Anolis sagrei: one gene and its partners. The protein of the gene in region 1 interacts with the protein of each later gene in a biochemical or structural test. Links are inferred from orthologs where the notes say so. Each region holds a gene or a part of one and is shown in the gene's direction. Other genes may lie near its edges. The genes, in order: CEBPB, DDIT3, ESR1 and SMAD3.

What was found.
Region 2: the proteins of CEBPB (region 1) and DDIT3 form a complex in vitro, tested with the Homo sapiens proteins (2 studies listed by BioGRID and IntAct, with this or other methods). The link is inferred for Anolis sagrei from reciprocal best matches to the Homo sapiens genes CEBPB and DDIT3.
Region 3: the proteins of CEBPB (region 1) and ESR1 form a complex in vitro, tested with the Homo sapiens proteins (2 studies listed by BioGRID and IntAct). The link is inferred for Anolis sagrei from reciprocal best matches to the Homo sapiens genes CEBPB and ESR1.
Region 4: the proteins of CEBPB (region 1) and SMAD3 form a complex in vitro, tested with the Homo sapiens proteins (2 studies listed by BioGRID and IntAct). The link is inferred for Anolis sagrei from reciprocal best matches to the Homo sapiens genes CEBPB and SMAD3.

The regions. Positions count from the first base shown.
Region 1 is NC_090024.1:222,094,347-222,101,611, forward strand, and holds the start of CEBPB (CCAAT/enhancer-binding protein beta), read left to right. Parts: upstream 1-4,169; 5' UTR 4,170-4,417; coding exon 4,418-5,488; 3' UTR 5,489-7,265. UniProt on the Homo sapiens protein: Important transcription factor regulating the expression of genes involved in immune and inflammatory responses. Also plays a significant role in adipogenesis, as well as in the gluconeogenic pathway, liver regeneration, and hematopoiesis.
Region 2 is NC_090022.1:185,996,844-186,003,905, reverse strand, and holds the start of DDIT3 (DNA damage-inducible transcript 3 protein), read left to right. Parts: upstream 1-4,043; 5' UTR 4,044-4,557; intron 4,558-7,062. UniProt on the Homo sapiens protein: Multifunctional transcription factor in endoplasmic reticulum (ER) stress response. Plays an essential role in the response to a wide variety of cell stresses and induces cell cycle arrest and apoptosis in response to ER stress.
Region 3 is NC_090021.1:72,370,499-72,378,648, reverse strand, and holds the start of ESR1 (estrogen receptor), read left to right. Parts: upstream 1-5,089; 5' UTR 5,090-5,104; coding exon 5,105-5,165; intron 5,166-8,150.
Region 4 is NC_090029.1:24,707,542-24,715,464, reverse strand, and holds the start of SMAD3 (mothers against decapentaplegic homolog 3), read left to right. Parts: upstream 1-4,883; 5' UTR 4,884-6,310; coding exon 6,311-6,516; intron 6,517-7,923. UniProt on the Homo sapiens protein: Receptor-regulated SMAD (R-SMAD) that is an intracellular signal transducer and transcriptional modulator activated by TGF-beta (transforming growth factor) and activin type 1 receptor kinases.

The DNA.
Region 1 (7,265 bases):
CTTGGACCCTTCCCTGTTTGTTACTAGACCTCTCATTATTGGAGCGTTTCAATTCATCCTTCTTGAAAGCACACTCTACACGCTTATTCCAAAATGAGTTCAATTACATTTGATGGATCTTAGTTCCTTCCCAGTTTGGTGTCCTGTTGGACTAACAACTCCATCGTTCCCATTTGCCATGACTATGTTTATCTGGCGTAATGGGAGCTGATGTAGTAGTTTGGGGTGTTGTGCTTAAGACTAGGGTTTGAACCTTTGCTTTACCTAGAAACTCAGTAAGGTTCTTGGGCAACTCACACTCTCTCAATCTTGGAGGAAGGAAAAGGAAAACCCTCTCTGGACAAGTCTTTCCAAGAAAAAACAGTAGAAGTCGAAAATTATTTGAAGGTACAAAACAATAGCAATAAGGTTGGTGGAAGACTGCAAGCAAGCATGTTTTGAACTGCGGCCTGAAACACATAAAGGAAACTACGACAAATTTGGTGAACTGGATCCATTTACTTGTGGACTCAGAACAGTTTTTTTTAATTGTGTCAGAAGTGAATTGAGAATATACTGCAAGTCGCTTCTGGTGTAAGAGAACTGGCCGTCTGCAAGGATGTTGCCCTGGGAAGGCCCGGCTGTGTCACCATCCTATGGGAGGCTTTTCTCTTGTCCCTGCATGTGAAGCTGGGGCTGACAGACAGGAGCTCACTCCAACTTGCAGATTCGAACTGCCAACCTTCAGATCTTCAAGTCAGTTGGCACAAGGGTTTAACCCATTGCGCAACCACGGCTCCCACTCAGAACAGTATCTAGCAAGAAGGGCAGAGAGTGCATGCCAGGTATTGCATTTCTCCCCTTCTTCCAAATTCCTGACATCTCCACTCTCCAGGAATAGAATGCTGGGTGTGCCAGTTTCCAATGGGACTTCCTCTTCACCAGAGATTGGCCAAGTTCCTCTTTGAGCTACAGCTACCACTAGACCTTCTCTAGAAAGTAACTTTGCGGAGGCCTCAACATATTGCGACCCACTGGCACAGTGGTCTTAGGTGTATTTCATGAAGTCATAGAGTTGAAAGAGGCCACAAAGGCCATCCAGTCCAACCCATTCTGTCACGAAGGAACATATAATGAAAGCACCCCTGACAGATCGCCATTCAGCCTCTGCTTAAAAACCTGCAGAGAATGAAACTCCACCACTCTCTGAGAAGGCAGCATATTCCATTGCCCATCACTTCCTATTAGGACACATAAATAAATTCCCATTGAGCTTGGTAGGACAACTCTGCCACATGAACAATACTAAAGACAATTCTTATTTTATCCTTTCTTTCTTAAAAAGTAGAACGATGCCAAATTGATGGTGCCTTTTCCAATCTGTGCTCCAAATGGATCTGTCTGTCCAAAGTCACTTGCAAAGATCTCTCCCACATCAAAGAAAACAGACTCTCAGGCAGAGAAGTTGCAACGTTTTCCTCCTTGGATCTTATGCTTGAGGAAATGACCTCCCCCCACGCTCTGCCATCAAACCACATCTTGTTTTTATTTCAGTGGCCCTCGGTATCTACTGGGATTTGGTTCCTATTATATACAACTCACATTATAAACAGGGTAGCCAAAAGTCATAAAGAGGGTTACATATTTAATAACACCATAGAAAAGGCAAAGGTTTCCCCTGACATTAAGTCTAGTCATGTCCGACTCTGGGGGATGGTGCTCCATTTCCATTTCTAAGCCAAAGAGCTGGCGTTGTCTTTGGTCGGCATGATTGCATGGAGCGCCGTTACCTTCCCGCAGAAGAAGTACCTATTGATATATTCACATTTGCATGTTTTTTTTAACTGCTAGGTTGGCAGAAGCAGGAGCTCACCCTGCTCCTCAGATTCAAACCACCAACCTTTCAGTCAGCAAGTTCAGCAGCTCAGCGGTTTAACCTGCTGCACCATCAGGGGACCCCTATCATTCACATATGAAAAATGCATTACATGATGTGGCCCACCCTATGCAATGATATTGGTGTCCATTAAAATGCAAAAACCAAGCTTGGATATACATTTTTGGTCAGATCTATGGATGCAGAACCTGTGGATATTTGGGGGCGGGGCAGATAAGGTAGCAAAATAATGTCTAAATGATAGACAAATGCAAAGACAAAGGTTGGAATAAAATAATATATTTATTTATTTATTATTTGAACTTATATGCCGCCACTCCCCTGGGGCTCGGAGCGGCTTACAAGAACAGGCTAAAATCGAACACAAAAAATTAAACATTGCAACCTTGAATTTTGGAATCATACACCCATATTTCCACCTTGATTTTTGGAATAATTGAATTGAAATATATGTACACACACACACACACACACATTCCCACTTTGATTTTTGGAATATTTGAATATGTATAAACATGAAAGGTTGCAGGTTTGAATCTGGGGAGCGGGGTGAGCTCCCACTGTTAGCCCCATCTTCTGCCAACCTAACAGTTCGAAAACTTGGAAGTGTGAGTAGAGCAATAGGTACCACTCCATGCGGTCATGCCGGCCACATGACTGTAGAGGTATCTACAGACAACGCCAGTTCTTTGGCTTAGAAATGGAAATGAGCACCACCCCCCAGAGTCAGATACGACTCTATCTATCTATCTATCTATCTATCTATCTATCTATCTATCTATCTGATATGTACATACATACATACATACATACATATAAAACATGCATATTCAATTATTCCAAAAACTCAAGGTGGGAACTTGTATGCGTGTACATACACACACAGCATGATTTTTGGAAGAAGTGAATGTGATACACACACACATACCCAACCTTGAGTCTTGATTTTTTGCATTTGTAGATAATGGACACTATTATACTATCCTATACAGAATGGAATAGTGGCAAGCTGAGGAGAGTTGCAAGTAATGACAGTGGTCGCAGGTTTGAATCCGGGGAGTGTGGTGAGCTCCTGCTGTTAATCCCAGCTTCTGCCAACCTAGCAGTTTGAAAACATGCACATATGAGTAGATCAATAGGTACCGCTCCATGCAGTCATGCCGGCCATATGACCTTGGAGGTGTCTATGGACAATGCTGGCTCTTCAGCTTAGAAATGGAGATGAGCACCACCCCCCAGAGTCAGACACGACTGGACTTAAGGTCAGGAGAAAACCTTCACCTTTACCTATCTATCTACCTATCTATATATAAACGTGCATATTCAATTAGTCCAAAAAATCAAGGAGTGGGTGTGTTGAATAACGCATATTCAATTATTCCAAAAATCAAGGTGGGAATTTGTATCCGTGTATACACACACACACACACACACACATGCTGGCACACACACATACACACCTTGATTTTTGGAATAAGTGAATGTGATATACACACACATACCAAACATTGAGTCTTGATTTTTTGCATTTGTAGATAATAGACACTATTATACTATCCTATACAGAATGGATACACACACACACATACACACACACATGCTGGCACACACACACACACCTTGATTTTTGGAATAAGTGAATGTGATACACATATACAGACATTCCCAAACTGAGTGGGTGTGTATACATATAACGCATATTCAATTATTCCAAAAATCAAGGTGGGAATTTGTATGTGTGTATACACACACACATGCTGGCACATACACACACACACCCCTTGATTTTTGGAATAAGTGAATGTGATACACACACACACATACCAAACCTTGAGTCTTGATTTTTTGCATTTGTAGATAATGGACACTATTATACTATCCTATACAGAATGGATATATATAGATATATATAGATATATATATATATATACACACACACACACCTTGATTTTTGGAATAAGTGAATGTGATACACATATACAGACATTCCCAACCTTGAGTCTTGATTTTTTGCATTTGTAGATAATGGACACTATTATACGATCCTATAAGTGGCAATCCGCGGAGAGTTGAGCCCGTGCGGGTTCAGAGACCTCGGAGGCGGTGTCCCGGGACGGGAGGCGTCGCCAAGAGCTGGGGAGCCTCCCCCTTGGGCCAGCCCTCTGCGCAGGCGCAGTAGAGGCGCGCCGGGCTCCTTGGGCGTCCCTCCTTCTGCAAGGAAAGGAAGGAGGGAAGGCTTGAGGAAAGCAGGAGGGAGGCGGGCGGCGCGTGCGGGCCCGTGACGTGTGGCGGTTGCCATGGGACGCGCCGCCCCTATAAAGACCCGCGCGCCAAGGCACTTTCCCAACAAAGTCCAGAGAGGAGGAGAGCAAAGAGGAGAAGGAAGAGGAGGAAGAGAAAGGGAAGGAGGCAGCGTGAAACCTTGGGAGGAAAGGAAAGAGCAAGGGAGAGGGAAGGACGAAAGAGAGGGTTTAGAGAGAGGCGGCTCCCCTTCCCTCCCTCGCTCCCTCCCTGCGTGGACTCGGGGCTTTGGGAGCTTTCATGAAACGCCTGGTGGCCTGGGACCAGGCATGCCTCCCTCTCCCGCCCTCGGCCTTTAAATCCATGGAAGTGGCCAACCTCTACTACGAGACGGACTGTCTGCCGGCGGCCGTGAGCAAGCTGCACGCGCGGGGAGGGCCCGTGGGGGCCCCGCGGCCCATGTCCGAGCTGAGCCTGGGCGAGCACGAGCGGGCCATCGACTTCAGCCCTTACCTGGACCCGCTGGCCTCGCAGCACCCGCACCAGCACGCGCCTCCTCCACCCGCGGCCACGGCAGGGGGCAACTTCGAGCCGCTTCCCTCCGGCAACAACCACAACAGCAGCAGCAGCAGCAACCCGGACTTCCTCTCCGACCTTTTCTCCGAGCAGGACTACAAAGCCGGGAAGAAGCAGCAGCACCAGCAGCAGCAGCAGCAGCACCCCGACTACACCTACATCAGCCTGGCCAAGCATAGCCACCACCCGCACCTCCACCAGGGCCAGAAGGCCTCTCTCTTGGGCTGCTTCTCGCCTCACATGGTGGAGACCAAAGTGGAGCCCGTCTTCGAGCACTTGGACTCGTGCAAAGCCGGCCCGCGCAAGGAGGACGCCGGCGGGGGAGGCGCGGCGGCCCTCGGGGGCCTCTCCTCGCCTTACGGCAGCGCCGTCCGCTCCTACTTGGGCTACCAGTCGGTGCCCAGCGGGAGCAGCGGGAACCTTTCCACCGCCTCTTCCTCCAGCCCGCCGGGGACCCCCAACCCTTCGGATTCCTCCAAGTCCGGAGGCAACCACTACGCGGCCTCGGGAGGAGGGAGCAACGGCGGCGGCGGGAAGAGCAAGTCCAAGAAGTCCCTGGACAAGCACAGCGAGGAGTACAAGATCCGGCGCGAGCGCAACAACATCGCCGTCCGCAAGAGCCGCGACAAGGCCAAGATGCGCAACCTGGAGACGCAGCACAAGGTGCTCGAGCTCACCGCCGAGAACGAGCGGCTCCAGAAGAAGGTCGAGCAGCTCTCCCGGGAGCTCGGCACCCTCCGGAACTTGTTCAAGCAGCTCCCCGAGCCCCTCTTGGCCAACGCCGGGCACTGCTAGCCCGCGGAGACTCGGCCTCCCTTTGGACTCCCTGCTGGGAAAGGGATTGGGGAGAGGAGGGGGGGGGGCAAAGGATGCCAAAAAGAGAAGCCAAAAGGGCTCTTCCTCCTCCAGAGTGGAATGCAGAAACAGAGGCTGGAGGGCCATCTGTCGGGGGTGCTTTGAATGCCATTTTCCTGCTTCTTGGCAGGGGGTTGGACTGGGTGGCCCATGAGGGCTCTTCCAACTCTGTGATTCTATGGAAAAGTTTGGGGTTTGTGGATTTGTTGTGTTGCCTTTCTTCCTGCCTTCCCTTCTTCTCCAAGGAGGCCTCCTTTAGACTACTTTCTCAAACTCTTCCCGGCCCAGCATGTTGGACTTCAGCGCCCAAATTCCCCGCACATTAGTCCTGGGAGCTGAAGTCCAAAGCGCATGGCAGAGAGAAGGTGATAGTATGATAGCTGGGTCCGAAGCTCTGAGCCTTACGCTGTTTCTGCTCCTTTGGGAGCACTGTTTGCGCAACGCAGAACAAACACAGATATTATAGAAGGAATGTAAGAGTTCTTTAATGGTAAAACCCTAACCCTTATGCAAAACCTTACCCTTACCCCTAATCCTAGCCCAAACCCTAATCCTAACCCAAACCCTAAACCTTACCCTAAGCCTAGCTCCTAACCCCTAATCCTAACCCTACCCCAAACCCTAACCCGAAACCTTATCCTAACTCTCCCCTCCTTTCTGTCCTTCCACCAAATGCAACTACTAAGTATATTCCCAGCGTCAGTGTTCTGCTCTCCCCTTCCCTTATCCGCATCCGCCATTGCGGAATGTGCACAATGCTCAGAGCTTCCGGACCCAGCTATCATACTATCACCAAGAGAAGTTTGTACATTGTGGAATTGATTCAGTTCAATGTGTTGTCAAAGGCTTTCGTGGCCAGAATCACTGGGGCCCCTTCCACACAGCTGAATAAGATCCCACGCTATCTGCTTTGAACTGGATATATGGAAGTGTGGACTCAAATAACCCAGTTCAAAGCAGATATTGTGGGTTATTCTGCCTTGATATTATGGGAGATAAGGCTGTGTGGAAGGGCCCTGGGTTGCTGGGTTGCTTTCCCAGGCTGTATGGCCATGTTCCAGAAGCATTCTCTCCTGACATTTCGCCTGCATCTATGGCAGGCATCCTCAGAGGTGGTGAGACCTCTGGAACATGACCGTTCAGTCCGGAAAACTCACAACAACCCAGTGGTTCAGTTCAGTTGGAGACCACTTTTGACTGCCATGGCTCGATGCTGCTAGAACCTGGGAGCTGCAGTTTCCCAAGGTCTGCCAAAGAGGAGATTAGCACCTTAGGGAGTTGAGCATGTATCAGGCCAACTTGAGCCTGCCAGGTGTTTTGGACTTCACCTCCCACAATTCCTAACAGCCTCAGGCCCCTTCCTTTTCCCCCTCAGCTGCTTAAGCGGCTGAGGGGGAAAAGGAAAGGACCAGAGGCTGTTAGGAATTGTGGGGCTTGAAGTCCAAAACACCTGGAGGGCCCAAGTTGGCCCATACCTGATCTACACACTGTAGAACTAATAATAATAATAATAACAACAATAGCAATAATAACTTTTATTTGCTATCTGCCTCTCCTCACAGCTTGAGGCAAGTAAAGACAGTGGAGTTTCCATCTCTGGAGGGTTTGGATGGCCATCTATCAGGAGTGCTTTGGTTTATGGCAAGGAGTTTGAACTGCATAGTTTTTGTGGTCTCTTAACCTTTTCTGAAAATGGATAAAACAAAGGACCATAATA
Region 2 (7,062 bases), on another chromosome or scaffold:
TTTAAGGTGCATTTGAGACATACATGTATCTCGTGATTGGGCTTGGGTCCCAAGCATGGCATAGCTTTTTGGAAACCTATCAAATGACCTTGAGTGAGTCCCCATCTACACTGCCATGTAATCCAGTTTCTGAACCCAGATTATGTGCTTTGAACTGGATTATATGGCACTGTGGACTCAGCATGGAACTGTTATGTGGTGTTCCACAAGGTACCATTCTATCCCCAATGCTCTTTAATATTTACATGAAGCTTCTGGGAGAGATAATCTGTAGGAACAGGATAGGGTGTTATCGGTATACTGATGACACCCAAAAATATTTTTCCATGCCTTTAAAAACAGCTTTAGCTAAGAATAGCATGCCTCCCCTGAATGAATGCCTGGAGAGGTAATGGGCTGGATGAGGAAAAACAAACTGAAACTGAATCCAGCAAAACAGAGGTGCTTGCCATCAAAGATCCTGATCTGGGGGTGGGGAGGTGTCAACCAGTTCTGGATGGGGTTACACTCCCCTGAATTACTGTGTTCACAGCTCAAGAGTACTCCTGGATCTCTCTCTCCAAATGTCAGCCTAGGTAGATGCAATAGTCAGGAGTGCTCACTATCAGCTTCGGTTGAACCGCCAGCACCACCCCTTCCTAGATTTGGAGGACCTGAAGATGGTAGTGCACGCACTGGTAACCTCAAGGTTGGACTTCTGCAATGTACTTAACACTGGGTTACCCTTGTACCAAGTTTGGAAACTTCAACTGGTTCAAAATGCGGCAGCCAGGTTACGGATCATCTAGGAGTGTGCATATTACACCTATCCTAAAGTCACTCCACTGGCTGCCAATTCGTTTCCGGGCCAAGTATAAAGGTATGGTTTTGACCTTTAAAGCCCTACATGGTTTGGGTCCAGGTTACCTAAAGGATTGCCTTCTCCCATACAATCCGCCTTACACACTTTGGTCTTCTAGGGGGCGTCTGCTCCAACCAGCCAGAACCTGACTAGCGGCTGTCACTCAGGGGACCTTTTCATTGGCCGCCCCAAGATTGTGGAATGATCTGCCGGTAGAGCTCCAACAGCTAAATCTGCTTTTGGAATTTAAGGCACAAATGAAGACCTGTCTCTTCCGACAGGCCTTCCCAGACTGCCTTTAAACATAAATATGAATTTTAATGCATGCCCTTTGTTTAATTGGTATTGTGTTTTAATATGTATTTCATAGAGATACGTTTTGGTTCGTAACTGTTATGGAGGTAAGTTTTAGTGTGTGTGTATCTATAGTGTTTTGCTGTGCTTATGTATTTTAATTGTTTTGTAACCCGCCTTGAGCCATTAAGAGAGCTATGAAAAAATATTATTATTAATAATTGTAACAATTTAATTATTAATAGTCAAACAGAGGCTGGATGGCCATCTGTCAGGGGTGCTTTGAATGCAGTGTTCCTGCTTCTTGGCAGGGGGTTGGCCTGGATAGCCCACGAGATCTCCTCCAACTCAAAGATTCTATTATTCTTATTAAATAATCATATTCAAAGCAGATAATCTGGATTCCTATGGCCCTCCCACACAGCCTTATATCCCAGAATATCAAGGCAGAAAATCCCACATGATCTGAGTGTGGACTCTGATAACCCAGTTAAAAGCAGAGCCAACCTTAAGGAATGAGGCTACAAAGTGAAATCCACGACATGCGAGTGTGGAGAAGAGCAAACCACAGACCACCTGCTGCAATGCAACCTGAGCCCTGCCACATTCACAATGGAGGACCTTCTTGCAGCAACACCAGAGGCACTCCAATGGTCAAAGGACATTTAATAGAATACCAAGTCTGCAAACTTTGTGTTTTGTTTGTTTGTTTTTGATGCAATACAACTGTTTTGGTTTGTGGGATTTTTGGTTTGTTGGATTACTGTAATGCACTCTACGTGGGGCTGCCCTTGAAATCGGCCCAGAAATTTCAATTGGTACAACGGGTGGCAGCCAGGTTACTAACTGGTGCTTCTTACAGAGCAGTCAACCTTCCTGTTTAAGGAGCTCCACTGGCTGCCGTTCATTTTCCGGTCCTAATTCAAGGTGCAGGTTCTTACCTACAAAGCCCTGAACGGTTTGGGACCCACCTACCTGCGTGACTGCATTTCTGTGTACGAACCCACACGATCTCTTTGATCATCTGGAGAGCCCTGCTTGCGCTCCCACCTCCTTCGCAGGCACGATTGGTGAGGGGGAGGGCCTTCTCGGTGGTGGCCCCCCGACTCTGGAACTCATTCCCAAGGACCTCAGACATGCCCCAACTCTGGCAGTCTTTAGGAGGAGCCTGAAAACGTGGTTGTTCCAGTGTGCCTTCCCAGAATAAGGAAAACTCTCAGCAATATGCCCTCAAAATGCACTTTGCCACTGATTTAGGACTGATTGCGTTCCCTCATCTCTTTTTGAAAACCCTATCCCAGTTATATCTTACCTTGTTCATGCCCAGCATTATTTTTTAAATTTTAAATTATTACATTTGGCCCGGCCATTGGTTTTCAAATGCTTGCGTGTTACTGTTTATTGTTTATGTGATTTATATTAATTGGATTGTATTGTTTTTGTTATTGCTGTTGTTATTGATGTACTGTGGGCTTGGCCTCATGTAAGCCGCACGGAGTCCCTTGGAGAGATGGTAGCGGGGTATAAATAAAGATTATTATTATTATTATTATTATTATTATTATTATTTTCTGCCTTAATATTCTGGGATATAGGGCTGTGCAGAAGGGCCCAGAAACTGGATTATAAAGCAACTAGCTGTCCCCTGTCACGCGTTGCTGTGGCCCAGTCTGTTGATCTGGAAAATAATGAGAAAGTGCTGGTTTACAATATTTGTAATTTTTTTATGCTTGTGGGTACAGTATTTCTTGCTGTTTCTTTGTCAGTGTTGATGTGGACAGTGTCTGGTTTGCCCACCCAGGAACATGCAACATATCATTGTCCTTCTTTAAGGGTCCCTTTCAAATCTATGATACTAGATCTCTCTGTGTGTGAATCATATCTATCTATCTATCTATCTATCTATCTATCTATCTATCTATCTATATCTATGGCTGGATGGCTCTTTGTAAGGAGGACTTTGATTATGTTTTCTTGCCCTGATGAAGGGAGTTGGATTGGATAGCCTTAAGTATTTTCTGTTGGTCATGGGGTTCTGTGTGGGAAGTTTGCCTCGATTCTGTCATTTGTAGGGTTCAGAATGCTCTTTGATTGTAGGTGAACTGTGAATCCCAGTGACTACAACTATTTCCCCCAAACTCCATCTGTGTTCATATTTGGGTATATAGAGTGCTTGTGCCATGTTGGTTCAGATCCATCATCGTTTGAGTCCACAGTGCTCTCTGGATGTAGGTGAACTATAACTCCCAAATTCAAGGTCAATGCCCACCAAACCCTTTCAATATTTTCTGTTGGTCATGGGAGTCCTGTGTGCCAAGTTTGGTTCAATTCCATCGCTGGTGGGGTTCTGAATGCTCTTTGATTGTAGGTTAACTATAAATCCCAGCAATTACAACTCCCAAATGACAAAATCATAATTTTTGAGTGATGGTCACTCCTTTGGTGTGATTTCGTTCATTGGTTCTTTTGTTTTTAAGGTACTCATTATGCACAGAGAATTTATATATAGATAGATAAGATGTGGCTCCAGCATTAACCACATACAGTCTGCCCCTGAAAAACCTCTAATAAAGGGTGTCAAACTGCAATAACTTCATGGAGGCACACCACTACAAGCCATCTCCATGGGTTGTTGGATATGCAGGATCTGAGGAGGCAGGAGTGCTGCTCCCCCTCCCCAACGCAGCCACACTTTCCCCAGGGAGGCCTGGCCCTTTAACGCACAAGGTGGGGCGGGGCGTGACGTCATAAAGCCTCTCCGAAGGAAGGCCTCTCCTAACGTAGCTAGGCCTAGTCCCCCTTCAGTCGCGCTAACTGGGCCTCCAAACCGCGGAAACAGTGGGGTGGGGGAGGTAGGAGAAGCCACGAAGGTCCGTTCAAGCGAGTGTGGCGGGTGGCCAAGGTCAGGGCCCGGGCCTCGGGTTGCCAGGCCGTTGCATCACCCTCCTCGCATGACTCACCCCCTTCCAGACTCGTGACCCTGAAAGGGCGGGGAGAAAAAGGGAGGAGCTTGAGGAGAAGTCACTTCCGGGAGCGACGCGGCAGCTTCCACCTCACTCCCGCTGGGAGGAAGAAAAAAAAAAAGAGTCCAGGCGGAGGCGGGGCCAGAAGGCGACGGCGACGACGGCCATTGGATGAAAAGAAGCGGCGACGGTGATTGGTCCGGCGTGGCGCAAGAGTTGCGTCATGCGGCGCGCGCTCGAACGTCTACCCGGCCCCCGGAGCGAGAGGAGGCAGTTGGCATTTGGACGCCGGCAGAAGCGCACGGAAGGAGAGAATGAGCATCGAAGGGAGAATGAGCCAGAGCCAGCAGCAGAAGAGAGGCGGCATCACAGGCGAGAAGGAGATTCGCAGGAAGGTGCGGAGCGATGAAGGGAAAAGTCCTGGGGGCCCTGGCCTTCATGAACTCCTTCAGCTAAAGGGTGGGAAGGGCTTTTTTAGGCCTTTTATTTCTTCTCCTCTAAGAGCCCTTCCACACAGCATAATATCACAGAATACCTGCTTTGAACTGGGTCATCTGAGTCCACACTGCAACTCTAGGATTCTATTTATTTATCTGTCTGTCTCCTTCTCTGAAGGTCTTTAAGCAGGGGCTGGATGGCCATCTGTCAGGAGAGATTGAATTGTGTCTTCCTGCCTGAGTCCACACAGTTCAGAGCATAATATGGGATTTTATTCAGCTGTGTGGAAGGGGCCTGAGAGAAATAAAGGATTCCCCATGCTAAAACTGAGGGCCCTTCCACACAGCCCTCTATCCCAGAATATCAAGGCGGAAAATCCCACAATATCTTCTTTGAACTGGGTTATCTGAGTCCACATTGCCATATATTCCAGTTCAGAGCATAATGTGGGATTTTATTCAGCTGTGTGGAAGGGGCCTGAGAGAAATTCGTAAATAAAGGCGGTAATCAGGATTCAAACTGAGGGAAGGCTTTTGGGTGCATTCACACTGTAGCATTACTACTAATATATCATCATCATTATTGATATATAAACCAAATAATATAAATACTTTAATATATATTAATATAAATCATAACATATAAATAATATAAATGATGACATATAGGTTGGTAAAGGTTTTCCCCTGACATGCAGTCCGGTCGCGTCCGACTCTGGGATGTAGTGCTCATCTCCATTTCTAAGCCAAGGAGCCGGCATTGTCCATAGACACCTCCAAGGTCATGTGGCCGGCATAACTGCATGGAACACCGTTACTTTCCCGATGGAGCAATACCTATTGATCTCACATTTGCATGTTTTCGAACTGCTAGGTTGGCAGAAGCTGGGGCTGACAGCAGAAGCTCACACAGCTCCCAGGATTCGAGCCTGTGACCTTTCGGTCAACAAGCTCAGCACTTTAACCCACTGTGGCACCAGGGGCTCCTAAATAAATAATAATAATAAATATGACATATAAATAATAAGTACATAAATCACTATTAATAATATTGTGATATATTAATAATAAATCTACACTGTGAATGCACCCAAAGGCCCTCCAGGCCTGCCAGCCATTTGAATCCTGATATTATATTATATATATTACTAGCCATCCCCTGCCACGCGTTGCTGTGGCCCAGTCTGTTTGTATATATGTGGTTTTGCGCATGCGTTGTAATTTATTTTTTATTTTTGGCTTTTTAAGTCTCTTCCGCTGTGTTTTTCAATGTTTTTATGAGTGATGGTCACTTGTTGGCCTGATACTTGTATTGTGTTCAAATTTGGTGTCAATTCGCCCAGTGGCTTTTGAGTTAGGTTAATCCCACAGACAATTATGCTGGGGAAAATGGAAGGAAAAAGGAAGAGGGGCCAACCAAGGGCAAGATGGATGGATGACATCCTTGAAGTGACTGGATTGACCTTGAAGGAGCTGGGGGTGGGCTGGTCCATGAGGTCACAAAGAGTCGGAAACGACTGAACAAATGAACAACAAAATCCCACATTACATTTTTATTTATATAGATACAGTGTTATACATTATAATAAATTACAAATACCATTATTAATAATATATTCTAAGTACATTATATATAAGATAAATATATTATATTATTATAATTAATAATACTAAATGTTATCCACCTCTGTTATTTAATGTTATAATGTGTTATATATAACAAATAACATTATTATTAATAATATATTTATTGTATAATAAATAATATACATATTATACATAATAAAATTAATATATTTAATTATTATATATAATTAAATGTTGTTTGTTACCCGGCTCTCTTCACGGATTGATGCAGGGCACAAGATACATTGATGAAACAATTGTAAAAAAAAGTGCTAAAAATCATAGAGCAAAGATTAAAACACCAATGCTGATAAAATGTACAATTATAAGTTGGATAGTAATACAGCTCAACACTACTTTTAACTGTTATGGAATCAAGGCAGTTGTAGTTTGCCGAGGAACTGAGGCTATTTGGCAGAGAAGGTTAAAGTCCTTGTAAAACTACAGCTCTTATCTTTCCATAACACTGAGCCATGGCAATTAAAGAGGTATCAAATGGCAGTAGATGAATATATTCTGAGGACCCACATGAAACTGTGGGTCCTTTAGTTGCTTCAAGAGGGAATAGATAGGGCACAGCTTGGTTCTGTGGTTTGTAAAGACTCGGTGTTTCCTGCTCAGCTTTGCAGAGAAGAAGACCCTGCTAAGAGATCTAGGTGCACCTGTTCTGTAGAATTAATGCATCTTAACACCACTATAACTGCCATAGTTCAAGGTTATGAAATCCTGGGAGTAGGGGACACCAGTACTCTTTAACAAAGAAGTTGAAAGACCTTGGAAAATTGAAGCTCCCATGATTCTGTTGCCATTATACAACGGTGTCTGACTGCTTTATTTACACCTTCTATTGTGCTAAAGTAGCTGGCTCTGATGGTACACATCTTTTCCCAAAAAATATGTT
Region 3 (8,150 bases), on another chromosome or scaffold:
CCTCATGTAAGCCGCATCGAGATGGTAGCGGGGTACAAATAAAGATTATTATTATTATTATTATTATTATTATTATTATTATTGTGAGACCCCCAACCATAACATTATTTTTGTTGCTACTTCATAACTGTATTTTTGCTACTGTTATGAATTGTAATGTAAATATCTGATATGCAGTATATATTTCCATTCACTGGACCAAATTTGGCAAAAACACCCGATATGCCCAAATTTGATTACTGTTGGGGTTGGGAGCGGGGGAATTGATTTTGTCATTTGGGAGTTGTAGTTGCTGGGATTTATAGTTAACCTACAATCAAAAAGCATTCTGAACTCCACTAATGATGGAATTGAACCAAATGTGGCACAAAGAACTCCCATGACCAACAGAAAATACTGGAAGGGTTTGGTGGGCACTGACCTTGAGTTTTGGTGTTGTAGTTCACCTACATCCAAAGGGTACAGTGGACTCAAACAATGATGGATCTGGACCAAACTTGACACAAATACCCAATATGCCCAAATGTGAACACCGGTGGAGTTTGGGGAAAATAGATCTTGCCATTTTGGAGTTGTAGTTGCTGGGATTTATAGTTCACCTACAATCAAATAGCATTCTGAACACCAATGAGAGAATGAAAGAAACACAGAACCCCCATGACAAACAGAAAATACTGTGTTGTGTGATGGTCTTTAGCGACCCCTCTGACTCCCCCCTCGCAACCCAGGGGTCCCGACCCCGAGGTTGATAAACACTGACCTAGACTCAGGCAGTTTGGGGTGTGTGTGTGGGGGGGGGGGGGGAGTAAGCAGGTCTGCTGTAGCTTAAGCTTTGACTGAAACCCCATTGCTCCCTGTTGGAGGAGAGCTTTTGAGTCCATCGCTGCTATCCCAGGGTACTTCAGCAGTGGGCCAGATGGTTGTGCTCATTGTCCAGCAGTGACATGCAGACCTCATGCAGGCTGCAATCCAATTGCTGTAACCAATGTAGTTGTAGCCATTTTTTTTTTGCCAGTCTGAACTGTGCTTATGTTGATGGGATAACTTTTTAACTACTTAATTGGAGAAAATTAGTAAATAAAAGATCAGTTTAGGTCAGACAATGCATACTGTCTGCATTACTGATTTATACAGTAATTTCCACACAGACATGGCAGTAAACTGAAAAACATCTGCCATCTGGATATTCAATTTCGACAAATGTATACTTCTCTAAAAAGGGTAAGGGTTGTTTACTACACCATGTATCTTTGCAAGAAGAGATTGGATTTTAAAATGTTTATGGATTTATTCCAACAGGATATTTAAATCAACTGTGTGAACATTTGCACTGAAAATTTAACCTTAATATTTTTCCAGACATTTGATGATTTTATGAGGCTGTCTAGATGCATTTTAAAGAACTTGCTTTATGGTTTGGGTCCAGGTTACCTACAGGACTCTCTAGTGGCATAGTGGGTTAAACCGCTGAGCTGCTGAACTTGCTGACCAAAAGGTTGGTGGTTCAAATCCGGGGAGCGGGGTGAGCTCCTGCTATTGTCCCAGCTTCTACCAACCTAGCAGTTCAAAAATATGCAAATGTGAGTAGATCAATAGGTTCCACTTTTGCAGAAAGGTAATGACGCTCCATGAAATCATGCTGGCCACATGACCTAGGAGGTGTCTATGGATAATACTGCCTCTTTGGCTTTGAAATGGAGATGAGCACCCCCCCTCCCCCAGAGTCAGACATGACTAGACTTAATGTCAAGGAGAAACATTCTCCAGTACAATCTGCCCCACATGCTTTGGTCCTCTGGTTGGGGGATGGGAGTGGCTACACCAACCAGCCAGAACTTGACTGGCCACTGTCACCCAGAGGACCTTTTCATTGGCTGCCCCAAGACTGTGGAACGACCTACTGGAAGAGCTCTGATAGCTAGATCAGCTGTTAAAATTTTAACACCATCTAAAAACCTGTATCTTTCAGAAAGCTGAAAACATCAATTTTAAAGTCATGTCCTGTTTTGCCTCTGTCTCTGTCCTGTGTGATTAATGTGCATTTTATACAAATGTTTTATCTACCTCTTTTATGGAACTGTATTATAATATGTGTGTTTGTAGAATTTTCATAGTATTCATATGTTTTTTACTGTGCTGTGACCTGCCTCAAGCCATGGGGAGGTGCGAGTAAGAAATAAAATTATTATTATTATTATTATTATTATTATTATTATTATTATTATCATCATCATTATGTGTGATCACTAATGGTCACACTGCATAGCTCTGTTCGGCAGGTGTGTGAGTGGGTGAGCTGCTGGCAACAGCCAAAGGAGACTCCGTAATTCTCACCCACTGTCGCATGTGGGTGATCAATGCCTATGAGGTCTCTCTCAGATGCCAAAGGAGATCCTGTAGGCCTCACTTGCCCATGCACACCAGTGGGCAACTCCTATGAGGTCTCCCTCAGCTGCCGGTAACCAAAGGAGGTCCTGTAAGTTCTGTTTGCCTATGTGTGCCAGCAGAGGAGGCCCATGGGGTCTTCTTCATATGCTAGCTCATAGGTGGGGAAAAGTGTGACTATTAAGTAGTGAACTATGATATTCTATAACAAGTCTTCATACAAATGTATTCTTGCAGATGTGTGCACTTGCCTGTTAACACTTGCCTGTTAAGATCCGCCGGCAGACTTGACTAGTGACCAGTTGGAACTTGCATTTTGTGTGTTCATTTGGGAAATGAAGTAATCATTACGACTTTAACTCTGTGTTACACAACAGATGACACGTGTATGACTGGTTTTTCAAAATTTTCCTCGATCTTTATGTTGCCTCTTCTGCCTTATTTTTTATTAAGTGCTTGCCCCCATTGCACCCAGGCTACTGCTGCTCTCACGGATCATTCCAGTGCCCCCAGGGGGCAATATTGCACTCTTTGGGAAGCACTGCTCAAGATCTTCAAGCATAACATGAGGAAGGTTACACTGAAGGAGATAGTGATTTCCAAGAATTCAAATCTGTGAATAATTTTTCTCAGATCTATGAATAATCAAATCCATAAAAGTCGAAACAGCAAATGTGGAAGGATGACTGTAATATGCTTACTATGGGCTTTACCACACAAGGCAGTAAACTGTAATTTGAACAGGGATTATTGAATCTTTGCCTGAGACTTACCACATTATGTCTCCATGTCTTATTATTCTACTGGTGAGAGACAATTTGGAAGGCATTTCTTTTTATAAATGCAGAAATCTTCATTAAGAAGTAATATTAGAATTAGAAAGCATATGAATATCTGCTTAAATTTATTTAGATTGGATGTAAGAAACCTGTACAGACAAACCTATGTCTGTTGTTTAGAGCTGCATTAATATACTGAATTAAAATCCAATACCTACTATGTGAACATGTATCAGGTAGTGCTAATATAATGTGAAAAAAGAAAAGAAGTGCAAGAATAAGTCATAAAACACATCTACACTACCACATTTATTTATTTATTTATTTACAACATTTCTACCTTGCCCTTCTCAACTCCCGAGGGGGGACTCAGAACAACTAACATTGGCAACAATTTGATGTCATAATATCACAATATACAATAATACAAAAACCATAAATACACAATAGATTAAAACAATAACATGAATTAAACAGTCATAGTAGCCATTTCTATTATTATAACCATCATCATATGGTCCAATTCAATGTCCAAAGTACCATTGTGCCTGCTAGCTAAAAGCCTTGTTCCATAACTACGATTTCAATTTTTTCCTAAAGGAGGGAGGACGCCAATCTAATCTTGCTGGGGAGTGAATTCCACAAGCGAGGGGTCACCACCGAGAAGGCCCTGTCCCTCGTCCCCACCAGATGCATTTGCGAGGCTGGTGGGACTGAGAGCAGGGCCTCCCCGGTGGATCTTAAACTACAAGGTGGAGCTTGGGAGGAACCAGTTTCACTCTGCAGTGATTAGATTGGATTAGTCTGGAACCGATTTGAGACCAGGAAAATGATTAAATTAAACACAGAACCTGGACTTAAACCACTCTGTGCCCCCCCCCCCTCCCAAATTCTCAGAGAGATGTGCATCCATCCTCTGGAGGCATACAGGGTGGAAAAAAAAAGGAACAGGCAGAGGCAAAGATAATCAGTTACCCCTCCCAGGGTACCGACTGGCCCAGGCATGGGCAAACTTGGGGCCTGCGGGTGGTTTGGACTTCAACTCCTGCCATTCCTAACAGCCTCAGGCTCTCCCCCTCAGCCGCTTAAGCGGAAAAGGCCTGAGGCTGTTAGGAATGGTAGGAGTTAAAGTCCAAATCACCTGCAAGGCCCAAGTTTGCCCATGGCTGGGTTAGCCCCATGCTGCCCAACCATGCCCTTGGGGTGCTTCTCGGCAGCCCCTGTTCTGGGATCTTTTTAATGTGTTTCAGTATGGTCGAGTGTCTACAGTTTGTGCTGCATTTTGTGGAGCTGGCATTTGCTGCAGTACCATTTTTTTTTTACTGAATTCAAACTTTCCTGCAATTTTCATTAATGTGCTGTATGCCCTTAAATACACACTGAAGTGTATTACTGGCATGCATTTAGTAGCTGCCTTGGTTTTTTAGTCATTTCAAAGCTACATTTTAGTGTCAGCAGAGATCGGGCATAATGTGATACTAAAGGGTAAGTTTTAAACTTTCACTTCAATGATAAATTGTGGTTAAAACATAATAGCTGTTATGTGAGAAATAGATATGGTTGTCAGTTGTTGACTTTGCAATACATCAGAATCATAACCAGGGAACACATGCTCTTGAGAAGTGAGTCATGCAGGCCATATAATTCTCCCTAATACATCAGCAACAATATTAGTATATAAATAGGGGAGGGGAATAAAATCTACATCTCAGAGTCAAGAGGAGAATGAAAAGTAAGGTCCTCTCGGGTTATCACTGAGAGATATCTTCCTTATTGGATGTCCCCATTTAAATGCAAGGAGACTGAACTCTGCTCTACATAATAGGCGTGCCAACACAGCTGGCATGACTTGTGTGTTTTAAAGTTCATGTCTTCCCTCTGCCTTCTCTTCCTTCGGTCTCACTCTGCCGAGGCTTTTCTATTTTCGTTTACAAGGTCACATGACCCTGTCAGCCAATTGCAGGACCACAGGAGCAATGGAAACTTCTTTCTGGGATAAAAGTAAGTCAAAATAGCTCAGCTCTTTTCCTGTTCTGCTCTTCAAATGCTCACCTTTTTATTGCTCTTTGCCATTTCAATGTGCTAAGCATAAACTCTGGTGCCCGGGGAAATAATTAAAAAGCTTTCTTTACAGCTGTCTTTTTCCCAAGGTCGCTTTTATTTGTGAAGTCCTTTAATATATTTTTTTTGCATAGTGTAAACGTGGCATAAAAAGAAAGAAGGGAAAAAGAGAGAAGGGCATTCATTTGAAATGCTATGAAATGTGTACAGAGGTGCCCACTGCAGGAATTTCCCTTCTGTATTTGCTCCGACAGCACGGCAGTTCCTATTTGCTGGAGATTTGTGTGCCACCCCCCTCCACAGCCCCCACTGTAACCAATCGGGGATCTAAAGAGGAAGTGATTACAGCAAGGATCACATGATCTCATTTTGACCAACTGCACATAAGGTTTCAATCTGAAGGCAGTTTTCTCTTATTCCTAAATAACTCTAGCCTTAAACCAGAGGATTAGCACCTTTCACTTAAAAGGACATTAAGTCACACTCTGCAAGTTGTAACAGGGGCTTGGGGAATGATAAAAAACTTCTGTAGTCATAAAACATTTTTACTATCAAAGAAAAATGTATTAACATTTTAATGCAGCATGATTTTGAATTTGAGGGCTAAAAAATTATTCATTTATTCATCTATACCTACTGCCTATTTGAGCATTCTCTTTTAGCTTTGGCTACATTTTTAAAATTGATATGGTAGAATTTTACTGCTCATATAATTTTGTGTAAATGTTTTGAGTTTGTTAAATATTATGTCTTCTTGAATATATTTTCTTTGTGCAATGTGGTGGTTTCCCCTTTCCCCAAATATATTATTAGTCTTAACATGCAATGACATATTTCCTCCACCCCAAATATGAGACACAAAACATGAACATTTTTATTGGACCAAGCTGACTGTTGGATAAGAAGAAAGTTTTTGAATTTATACAGAAAGTGCCTTAGTTTAAAAAAAGAGGGTAGCCACCTCTCAATGAAAAAAATAGGAAATGTGATTTTACACAATCTAAACCTGTAATAAGGTTAAACTGCTGAGATGCAGAACTTGCTGACCGAAAGGTCGGTGGTCCAAATCCAGGGAGTGAGGTGAGCTTCCGCTGTTAGCCCAAACTTCTGCCAACCTAGCAGTTCAAAAACATGCAAATGTTAGTAGATCAATAGGTAATGCTTTGGTGGGAAGGTAACAGCGCTCCATGCAGTCATGCTGGCCACATGACCTTGGAGGCATCTACGGACAATGCCGGCCCTTCGGCTTAGAAATGGAGATGAGCACCAACCCCCAGAGTCAGACACAACTAGACTTATTTATTATTTATTTATTTATTTCGAGGTTTTATATACCGACCCTCTCACCTTCAAAGAGGGATTCGGACCGGTTCACAACATGTGTTAACATACAAAAAATATACAATAACAACACAATGCCACTTCATTACACGGTTAAAATATCAGCACTATACACGTTAAAACATTATCATCACAGTTAAAAGAGCCAAATCGTCCGACACCATCACAATCCCATTCATCATCCTCCTTTCATGTGGGCAAAGAATTAAATCAGTTGTCAAATGCCGCGTTCCACAACCAGGTCTTTGTTAGTTTCCTGAACGTCATGAGGGAGGGGGCAGTTCTGATCTCTAATGGCAGGGAGTTCCAAAGTCGAGGGGCCACCATTGAGAAGGCCTTGTCCCTCATCCCCACCAGCCGTGCTTGTGCAGGCGGAGGGACTGAGAGCAGGGCCCCTCCAGACGATCTTAGTGGTCTTGATGGTTCGTAGGGGAGAATACATTCGGAGGAAACCTTTACCTTTACTTTACCTTAAACCTGTAATCATTTCAGATAGCTTATGTCTTCAGACTTCAGTATTAATCAATTGACATTTTAATTTATTAAATAATTTACTATGAAAAAGAATACATTAATAGTTGGTTTAGTTGGATATTCTAATGTATTAAATAGGGCTGTGGTTTAAACTAGATTTTTGTTATGTATGTGTGTTACAACACTATGGTGTGTGTGTGTGTTGTAGATGAATAGAAAAACATTCTTTTTTGAGAGGTGAAACAATGGTTTCAGACAGTGAGCAGATTAGCCATCTTGAGACCCAGTTTTATGTTATAATAACACACTGGAATGAAAGCTCTCTGTCCCACCCACAATTTAAAACATACAACCTTTTAAAATGAATTGTGATGATGTGTATCATGAACTTCTACACATTGCCCTGTTGCACAATTATGGTTTCTGTTGCATAGCAATCAAGTGCCCAGTGCTCAATGGGATCCATGATGTTGATTCCATTCCTCCAATGGTCTCAGAAACGTAGTTACGCTTTTGCTCCCCTCTTGAGAATACAAATGTGCAATGTTGCAGTTTTTATGTTGCTGCCAATTTATGGTGATATAAATACCTAATGGAACCTCACATTAAAATTAATGATTAAGCATACACTCATATGCCTGTCTGATGCCTTAAATATAGCATTTGAATGGAGTAGACTATATTTGGAATATGTACTATTTCACTGCTACCCTTCTTCTTGTTGTTATATGCTTTTAATTCAACTCTGATTTACAGTGCCCCTGCCTTAGTCTATTTTTTTTGCAATAACATTCTTCAAAGGAGATTTGCCATCGCTTCATCTAAAGTGAGAGAATGCGGTTTGCCCAAGGTTACCCAATGGATTTCTATAGCTTAGGTGGGTTTCAAATCCTGATTTCATAGTCCATTTAATCTTAGGTTGGTCAGGAAGTGCTCTTTATCAAATCTTTATTTATGCTTGGTAACCAGTATAGAATTCCATCTTATAATCATCTGTCCACATAACCACAGCATTTACATTAGGCTAGGATATAAATTAAAATGTAACACCATTTAAAAGATACTTGAGGAAGAACTTCCTGACTGTGAGAGCCGTTCAGCAGTGGAACT
Region 4 (7,923 bases), on another chromosome or scaffold:
ACTCCAGTGAGAAACTTCCCATCAATAAGATGAAGTATCATAGCAAGGAGGATAGAAAACAAGGTTGGGACCATAACACAAAATAACACGTTATTTTGCTTATTGTTTTGATTTGCTTTGCTATTGTTGTGTTATGTTCTCTATTGTATTGTGTTTTGAGGCTTCGGCCTGTGTAAGCCGCATCGAGTCCTTCGGGAGATGCTAGCGGGGTACAAATAAAGTTAATAATAATAATAATAATAATAATAATAACATCCCTGTTTGACACCTGATTCCACCTTAAATGGGAGATGTAGTTTGATAAGGTCTGTAGCTTTCTCTCTTGAATAGAGAAGGCAACATCAAACTACATCTTCCAGGGTTCTGTAGCATTGAGCCCTGGCAGTTCAAGTGGTGTCAAACTGCATTCCTTCTGCAATGCAGGTGCACCCTTCGACCTCGTAAAACTACAACTCCCAGAATTCCATAACACTATGGTGACTGAAGTGGTGTCAAACTGCATTAATTCTATGGCATAGATATGTTACCCTATGTCTTCAAAGCCCAGCCATGCAAACTATTTTGAATCACTAGCTATTGACTGACTCCAGAAATCCTCCGTCCCATAAAAATGTCCAAAAAATGCAAATGTGTTCCTGGAGTAAAGACTCTCCTTTAATCTGCATCCAGCAGACAAGGAACAAAGAGTCATTACAGGGCAGATTCAGGAAAACAGGGCTCCATTCATAAAAATAAAAAAATATATTGACTTGTGAAAGACTTTGGGGTAGAGCTTTTTCACCCCCGCTCCTTGTTCTTTAAACACTCTCTCGGATATGGAATGCCCAGTTCGAGAAGGAAAGGGAAGATTTTTTAAACAGATGTGTTTTGGCGAGGCAGCGAAGGCAAACACTGAAATTATATGGGAGGAACAGACGGTTGTGTGCAGGGATTACGCAAAAAGAAGGGAGTGAGAGGAAAGAAGGAAGGAGAAAGCAAAAAAAGTCAAGGCAGGCAGAGAGGGAAGAAGAGAAGAGAAGAGAAGAGAAGAGAAGAGAAGAGAAGAGAAGGAAAGAAAGCAAGGAGAGAGGAAGGAAAGGAAGGAAGGAAGGAAGGAAGGAAGGAAGGAGGAAAAAAGCAAAGGAAGGCAGAGAGGGTAGAAAAGAAGGAAGGAAGGGAGAAAGGAAGGAAGGGAATCGAATCAAATTTCCTTTCCTTTATTTTTGGGGCCAAGAATTGATCCCTGAATGCATGTTGTCCCTTGCCATCCGCATTCATAGGCTGACCATTTCGTAGCTGATTGAAGAACATTGTTTCCACTCCACTTTTATTTATGTGTTAAGAGACATATGTGGGTGTGTATAAATGTGTGTGTGTGTGTGAGATACACACACACACACATACACACACACACACACATACATATAAGCTAGACACATAAAACCATTTATTAGGATCTCCAAAGTTTAGTTAGTTTTGTTATTCCGGGGCTGGGCAGCTCAAATTCTCCGCAAAAATATTAGCTTTATTTTAAGTGCTTTTCCAATACATCAGCTGCGGAGAATGGCAATGCACTTTTCCATCTCAAGGCCCCAGAGACTTTGCGTATATTCGTATTTTGCAGAAAATGCAAGCTCTAGGAGGTGCTGAAAAGCCGTCCTCGTCATTGAAAAAAAAGGGCAAAAACACTTCGATTTACATAATCCCCAAAGGCACCGGCCAAAAAAGAAAAAAGGGAGTCCAGACGGTGTAAAAGTAGGACGGTTCTATCCTTTTCCTTCTCTTCTGGTGAAGTTTTCCATTAGGAAAGTGTCCAGAAACTCATTGCAAGAAAGCACCGCTGTCTGGGGAAAGGACTGGCCAACCTTTTGGGATAGGAAACTCCACAGCCCTTTGAAGGTCCTTGGACTGAAAGTCCCAGCAGCCATGACCAAACATAGGTTAAGGGAATGCTAGGAGTTGTAGTCCATCTACATCTTTGATGGGTGGGGGATGTTTCTCACTTTGCTGCATTTGCAGGTCAATCATATAGTTTGCAGATATTTCTTATCTGCCACCACCATAGAAATGAGACCCAAATGGAGTCCTTGTTGTTTCTTTATGCTCGTTTAAAGTTGTTAAGAACTTGTTTAGGGTTGTTCAGGGTTTGTTTTGCACATTTAGTGCCTTTTTAAGATTGTTCAGGACCAGTTTTGCCCATTTGGTGCCTTTTTAAGGTTGTTCGGTGCCTGTTTAGCGTTGCTCAGGGCCCATTTTGCCCATTTGGTGCCCTTTTAAAGTTGTTTGTAGCCTGTCTAGGGTTGTTCGGGGCATGTTTTGGCATTCAATGCCTTTTAAAGGTTGTTTGGAGCTTTTAAAAAGTTGCTCAGGGTCTGTTTTGCCCATTTGGTGCCTTTTTAAGGTTGTTCGGTGCCTGTTTAGCATTGCTCAGGGCCCATTTTGCCCATTTGGTGCCCTTTTAAAGTTGTTTGTAGCCTGTCTAGGGTTGTTCGGGGCATGTTTTGCCATTCAATGCCTTTTAAAGGTTGTTTGGAGCTTTTAAAAAGTTGCTCAGGGTCTGTTTTGCCCATTTGGTGCCTTTTTACGGTTGTTTGGAGCCTGTTTAGGGCTGTTTGGGACCAGTTTTGCACATTGTCTTTTTAAGGTTGTTTGCAGCCTGTTTAGGGTCCTTTTGGCCCAGTTTTGCCCATTTGGTTCCTTTTAAAAGTTGTTTAGAACTTGTTTAGGGTTATTCAGGGTCTGTTTTGCCCATTTGGTGCCTTTTTATGGTTGTTTGGAGCCTGTTTCGGGTTGTTTGAGGCCACTTTTTCCCATTTGGATGGAGACCAAGTGAGGGAAATGACCAGCTGTTAGGGGCTGTGGGAATTGAAGTCCAAAACACCTGGAGAGCTGACGTTTGCCCATGCCTGGTCTAAAATCAGGTTGTCTACTTGAACACAGAAGAAGAAGAAGAAATAATAATAATAATAATAAGGAGAATGAGAAAGTTAAGTTGGAGGAAGAAAGCCAGAGAGAGAGAGAGAAAGCAAGAAGGAAGAAAGGTGAGAAAGGAAGCAAAAGAAAAGCGATAGCAAGTAGAGAATGAAAGACGACACAAAAAGAGAAAGAGAAGAAAAGGGGAAGGAAAAGGGGAAAACAAAAGAAGAAAAGATAGAGAAGAAAGGAAGCAAGCGAAGGAAAGTAAAGAGGAAATGGAGAACGAAAGATCCAAAAAAGAGAAAGAAAAGACGAAAAAGAGAAGAAGGGGAAAACAAGAGACGAAGGAAAGATAGAGAAGAAAGGAATGAAGCAAAGAAAGAAAAGGGGAAATTGGGAACGATAGACAATAGAAAAGAGAAAGAGAAAAAGAAGGAAAAGTGAAGGAAAAGGGGGAAGTCAAGGTGGGAAAGGAAGAGAAGAAAAGAAGGTCGCCAAAGAGAGAGAAATGATCAAGAAGGAAAAGAAAGTGAAACAACACAATAATAAAAAGGGAGCTGCAAAGGAAGAGAAAGGGTTTTTGTTGTTCATTTGTTCAGTCGCTTCTGACTCTTCGTGACCTCATGGACCAGCCCAGGCTAGAGCTCCCTGTCAGCTGTCACCACCCCCAGCTCCTTCAAGGTCAAGCCAGTCACTTCAAGGATACCATCCATCCATCTTGCCTTTGGTTGGCCCCTCTTCCTTTTTCCTTCCATTTTCCCCAGCATCATTCTCTTCTCTAAGCTTTCCTGTCTTCTCATGATGTGGCCAATGTACTTCATCTTGGTCTCTAATATTCTTCCCTCCAATGAGCAGTTGAGCTTTATTTCCTGAAAGATGGACTGTTTGGATGTTCTCGCGGTCCAAGGCACTCTCAGAACTTTCCTCCAACACCACATCTATATTCCTTCACTCAGCCTTCCCTATGGTCCACCTCTCACATCCGTAGGTGACTACAGGGAATACCACTGCTTTTACTATGCGGATCTTCGTTGAAAGGGTGCTGCTCCATTATCTGGGTGGAAGCCACAAGGGGGCAATGGAGGGAAAAGGATAGTCCATTTTACACGAGGGGGCGGGGGTGGCAGATTGAAGGAGTAAATCTATTTCCTCCAGTGTTATCCCCCTTACCCATGTTGCTGTTGTTATGACATGGGAAGAATGGAAATGGGACGGAAATAGTTTCCGCCCTACAATTCCCCCCTTGGAAAATGGACTATCCTTCTCTGCCTGGCACCCCCTTGTGGCCTCCGCTGGGATAATAAGAAAGTGAATGCGAGAAGAGATAGACCAGGCATGGGCAAACTTCGGCCCTCCCTCCAGGTGTTTTGGACTTCAACTCCCACCATTCCTAACAGCCTACCGGCTGTTAGGAATGGTGGGAGTTGAAGTCCAAAACACCTGGAGGGAGGGCCGAAGTTTGCCCATGCCTGGTCTATCTCTTCTCGCATTCACTTCTCGCATTCACTGGCTGTTAGGAATGGTGGGAGTTGAAGTCCAAAACACCTGGAGGGAGGGCCGAAGTTTGCCCATGCCTGAGATAGACAAAAAATGAGAAGGAAGCAGAAAGGGAGGAAGAAAAAGGGAGTTCAAAACAAAGAGAGTGAGCAAGGCAAAAAAGTGAAAAGAAAGGAAAACAAAGGAGGTGGGAGAGAGGGAGAGAAGCTAAGAAGAGACAAAGAGAAGGACCAGCAAGTTGAACAAAGGGAGGGAAAAGGAGAAAGTATAAAAAAGGGAAAGAAGAGAGAACAAAGGAGGGAAGAGGAAGGAGAGAGAGAGAAAGGAGGTCGAGAAAGGGAAAGAGAGGGAGGCAGCGAAGACAGGAGGAAGAAAGCAAGAGAGAAAAGGGAAAGCAAGGAGGCAGCCTCCCCCTCCCCTTTTTGCTCAGACTAGAAAGGGGAGGGGGAGGGGAGAAGGGGAGGGGCTTGCCCAAGCCACGCCCCCCTCCTCCGCGTGGGAGCCCCTCCCTCTGCCGCCGCCGCCGCCGGAGAAGTCGGGACAAAGTTTTGGAGCTGGAAGAAGAGAAGGAGAAAGAGATAGAGGAGGAGGAGGAGAAAAAGAGAAAGGAGGAAGAGGACGAAGGAGAGCTTCGCTTCGTCCGCCTTCGGAACTTGGAGCCCCGAAGGAACCCGCCGGAGTTTGGCCTTCCCCCTCCCTCACTCCTCTCTTTCTTTCTTTCTTTCTTTCTTTCTCTCGCTCTCCTTCCCTTCCCCTCCTCCTCTTTCCTTCCTTATATTTCCTCCTTTCTCTCTCTTTCCTTTCTCTTTCCTCTCTTTTCCCTTCTCCCTCTTTCCTCCTTCTTTTCTCTCTCTTTCTTCCACATTTCTCTCGCTCTCCCTCACTTCTCCTCTTTCTTTTTCTCTCCTCCCTCCCTCAATCTCTTCTTTTCTCTCTACCCCTCCGCTCTTTCCCTTTCCTTCCATATTTCTCCCGCTTTTTCCTCTTCTTCTTTTCTTCCTCTCTTTCCTTCCCTTCTTCCTCTTCTTTTCTCTCCCTTTCCTTCCTCCCATACTTCTCTCTTTTTCCCTCGCTCTCGTCTTCCTCTTCTTCTCTCCTTCCTCCTTCCCTCGCTTTCCTTCCTTCCCTTCTTTGCTTGTTCCTCTTCTTTCTCCTTCCTTTCACTCCTTCTCTATCCTTCTTTCCATATTTCCCTCTCCCTACCTCCTTTTTTCCTCTTCTTCTTTCCTTCCTCCATCTGTCTCTGTATTTCTCTCTCCCTCCTTCGCTTCATCCTCTTCTTCTCTCCTTCCTTCCTTTTTCCTTTCCTTCCACCCTCTCCCCTTTCTTCCCCTCCTCCTTCCCCTCCTTTTCCTTCTATCCATATTTCTCTTTCCCTCCTTCTCTTCTTCCTCTTTCCTCCCTCCCTCCCTCTTTCCTTCTTTATTCCCCCTTCCTCTCCCTCTTTTTTTCTCCTTCTCTTTCCTTCCATATTTCTCTCTCCCTCCTTCACTTCTTTCTTTCCTCTCCCTCTTCTTTTCCTCCTTCTTTCTTTCCTTACATATTTCTCCCTCCTTCGCTTCTTCCTCTTTCCTCCCTCCCTCTCCTTTTTCTTCTTTATTCCCCCTTCCTCTCTCTTCTTTCCCTCCTTCTCTTTCCTTTTCCCCTTATTTCTCTCTCCCTCCTTCACTTCTTCTTTCTTTCTTTTCTCTCCCTCTTCTTTTCCACCTTCTCTTTCTTTCCTTCCATATTTCTCTCTCCCTGCTTCGCTTCTTCCCATACTTCTCTCTTTCCTTCCCCTCTTACTTTCTCTCCCTTTCCTTCTTTCCTCTCCTCTTTCCATCCACATTTCTCTCCCCCCCCCCTCCTTTGCTTCTTCCTCTCCCCCTCCTCCTTTCTCTCTCCTTCCTTTCTCCTTCCTTCCTTCCCTTTGGCCAACATGTCTTCCATCCTGCCCTTTACGCCTCCCATCGTGAAGCGGCTGCTGGGCTGGAAGAAGGGCGAGCAGAATGGGCAGGAGGAGAAGTGGTGCGAGAAGGCGGTCAAGAGCCTGGTCAAGAAGCTCAAGAAGAGTGGGCAGCTGGACGAGCTGGAGAAGGCCATCAGCACCCAGAGTGGAGGCACCAAGTGCATCACCATCCCAAGGTGGGCCCCGTGCACACACAAACAGAGCAGGGTTGCATCCACAGTAGGCCTTGGCCAACTTGGGCCCTTCCAGGTGTTTTGGACTCCAACTCCCACCATTCCTCACAGCCTCAGGCCCTTTCCTTTTCCCCCTCAGCCGCTTAAGCGGCTGAGGGGGAAAAGGAAAGGGCCTGAGGCTGTGAGGAATGGTGGGAGTTGGAGTCCAAAACTTTGGTTTTGCAGGAGGGTTATCCAGCTATAGCACATTTTCTAATAGTTTTTCTATGAATCTCTCATCATTGAGTCTCAACCGATGCAAACTACTTTGTGGCAGCCACGAAAACAGAGTTTCTGGAGTGCAATAACTTCTTTCAAAGTCAGGACCACACAATTAAACAGGAAATAACACTTTCAAACCAGGAAAATAACATTTTAAAAGTTTGTTACGTAGTGTGACGGATTTGATTCCAAATGTCCTCTAGGAATCTCTAGGGCATGTTGATGTCATGCCTTTGAGGCCTGCCTCCTTTTGTGCCATGGTCATACCATTTTTCTAAGAGTCACACAATATATGTAACATAGGTAAAAGTAAAAGTTTTCCTCTGACATTGTCCAGTTGTGTCCGACTCTGGGTTGTGGTGCTCATCTCCATTTCTAAGCCGAAGAGCCGGCATTATCCGTAGACACCTCCAAGGTCATGTGGCCAGTATGACTGCATGGAGTGCCGTTACCTTCCCGCTGGAGTGGTCCCTATTGATCAACTCATATTTGCATATTTTCGAACTGCTAGGTTGGCAGAAACATACAACACATTACGGTTGTAATACATGTATATACCTATGTATGGTGTCCCCGGTAGCACAGCAGGTGAAACAGCAAAGCTGCTGAACTTGTTGACTGAAAGGTCGGCAGTTTGAATTTGGGGAGTGTTGTTGAGCTCCCACTGTTAGCCCCAGTTCTGCCATCTATTTATTATTATTACTATTATTGACATCATTATTATCACCATCATTATTATTGACATTATCATCATCATCATTATTTTTTATTGTTGACATTACTATTGTTACTCTTATTATTGTCATCATTGTTGATATTTTTATTATTGTTACATGTACATGCCTGGCTGAGGGGAGTTGGACTAGATGCCCTTTGGGGACCTCTTCCAATGGAGTCTCCTCTAGAATTTTTTGAACTGAGGTTGAGTGGCCATCTGTTGGGAGGGCTTAGACTGTATCTACTTACCTGGCTGAAGGGGGTTGGACTAGATGCCCTTTGGAGACCTCTTCCAGTAGAGTCTCCTTCTCTAGAATTTTTTGAACTGAGGTTGAGTGACCATCTGTTGGGAGGGCTTAGACTGTGCCTACCTACCTGGCTGAAAGGGATTGCGTTGGATTAGATGCCTTTATGGAGACCTCTTCCAGTGGA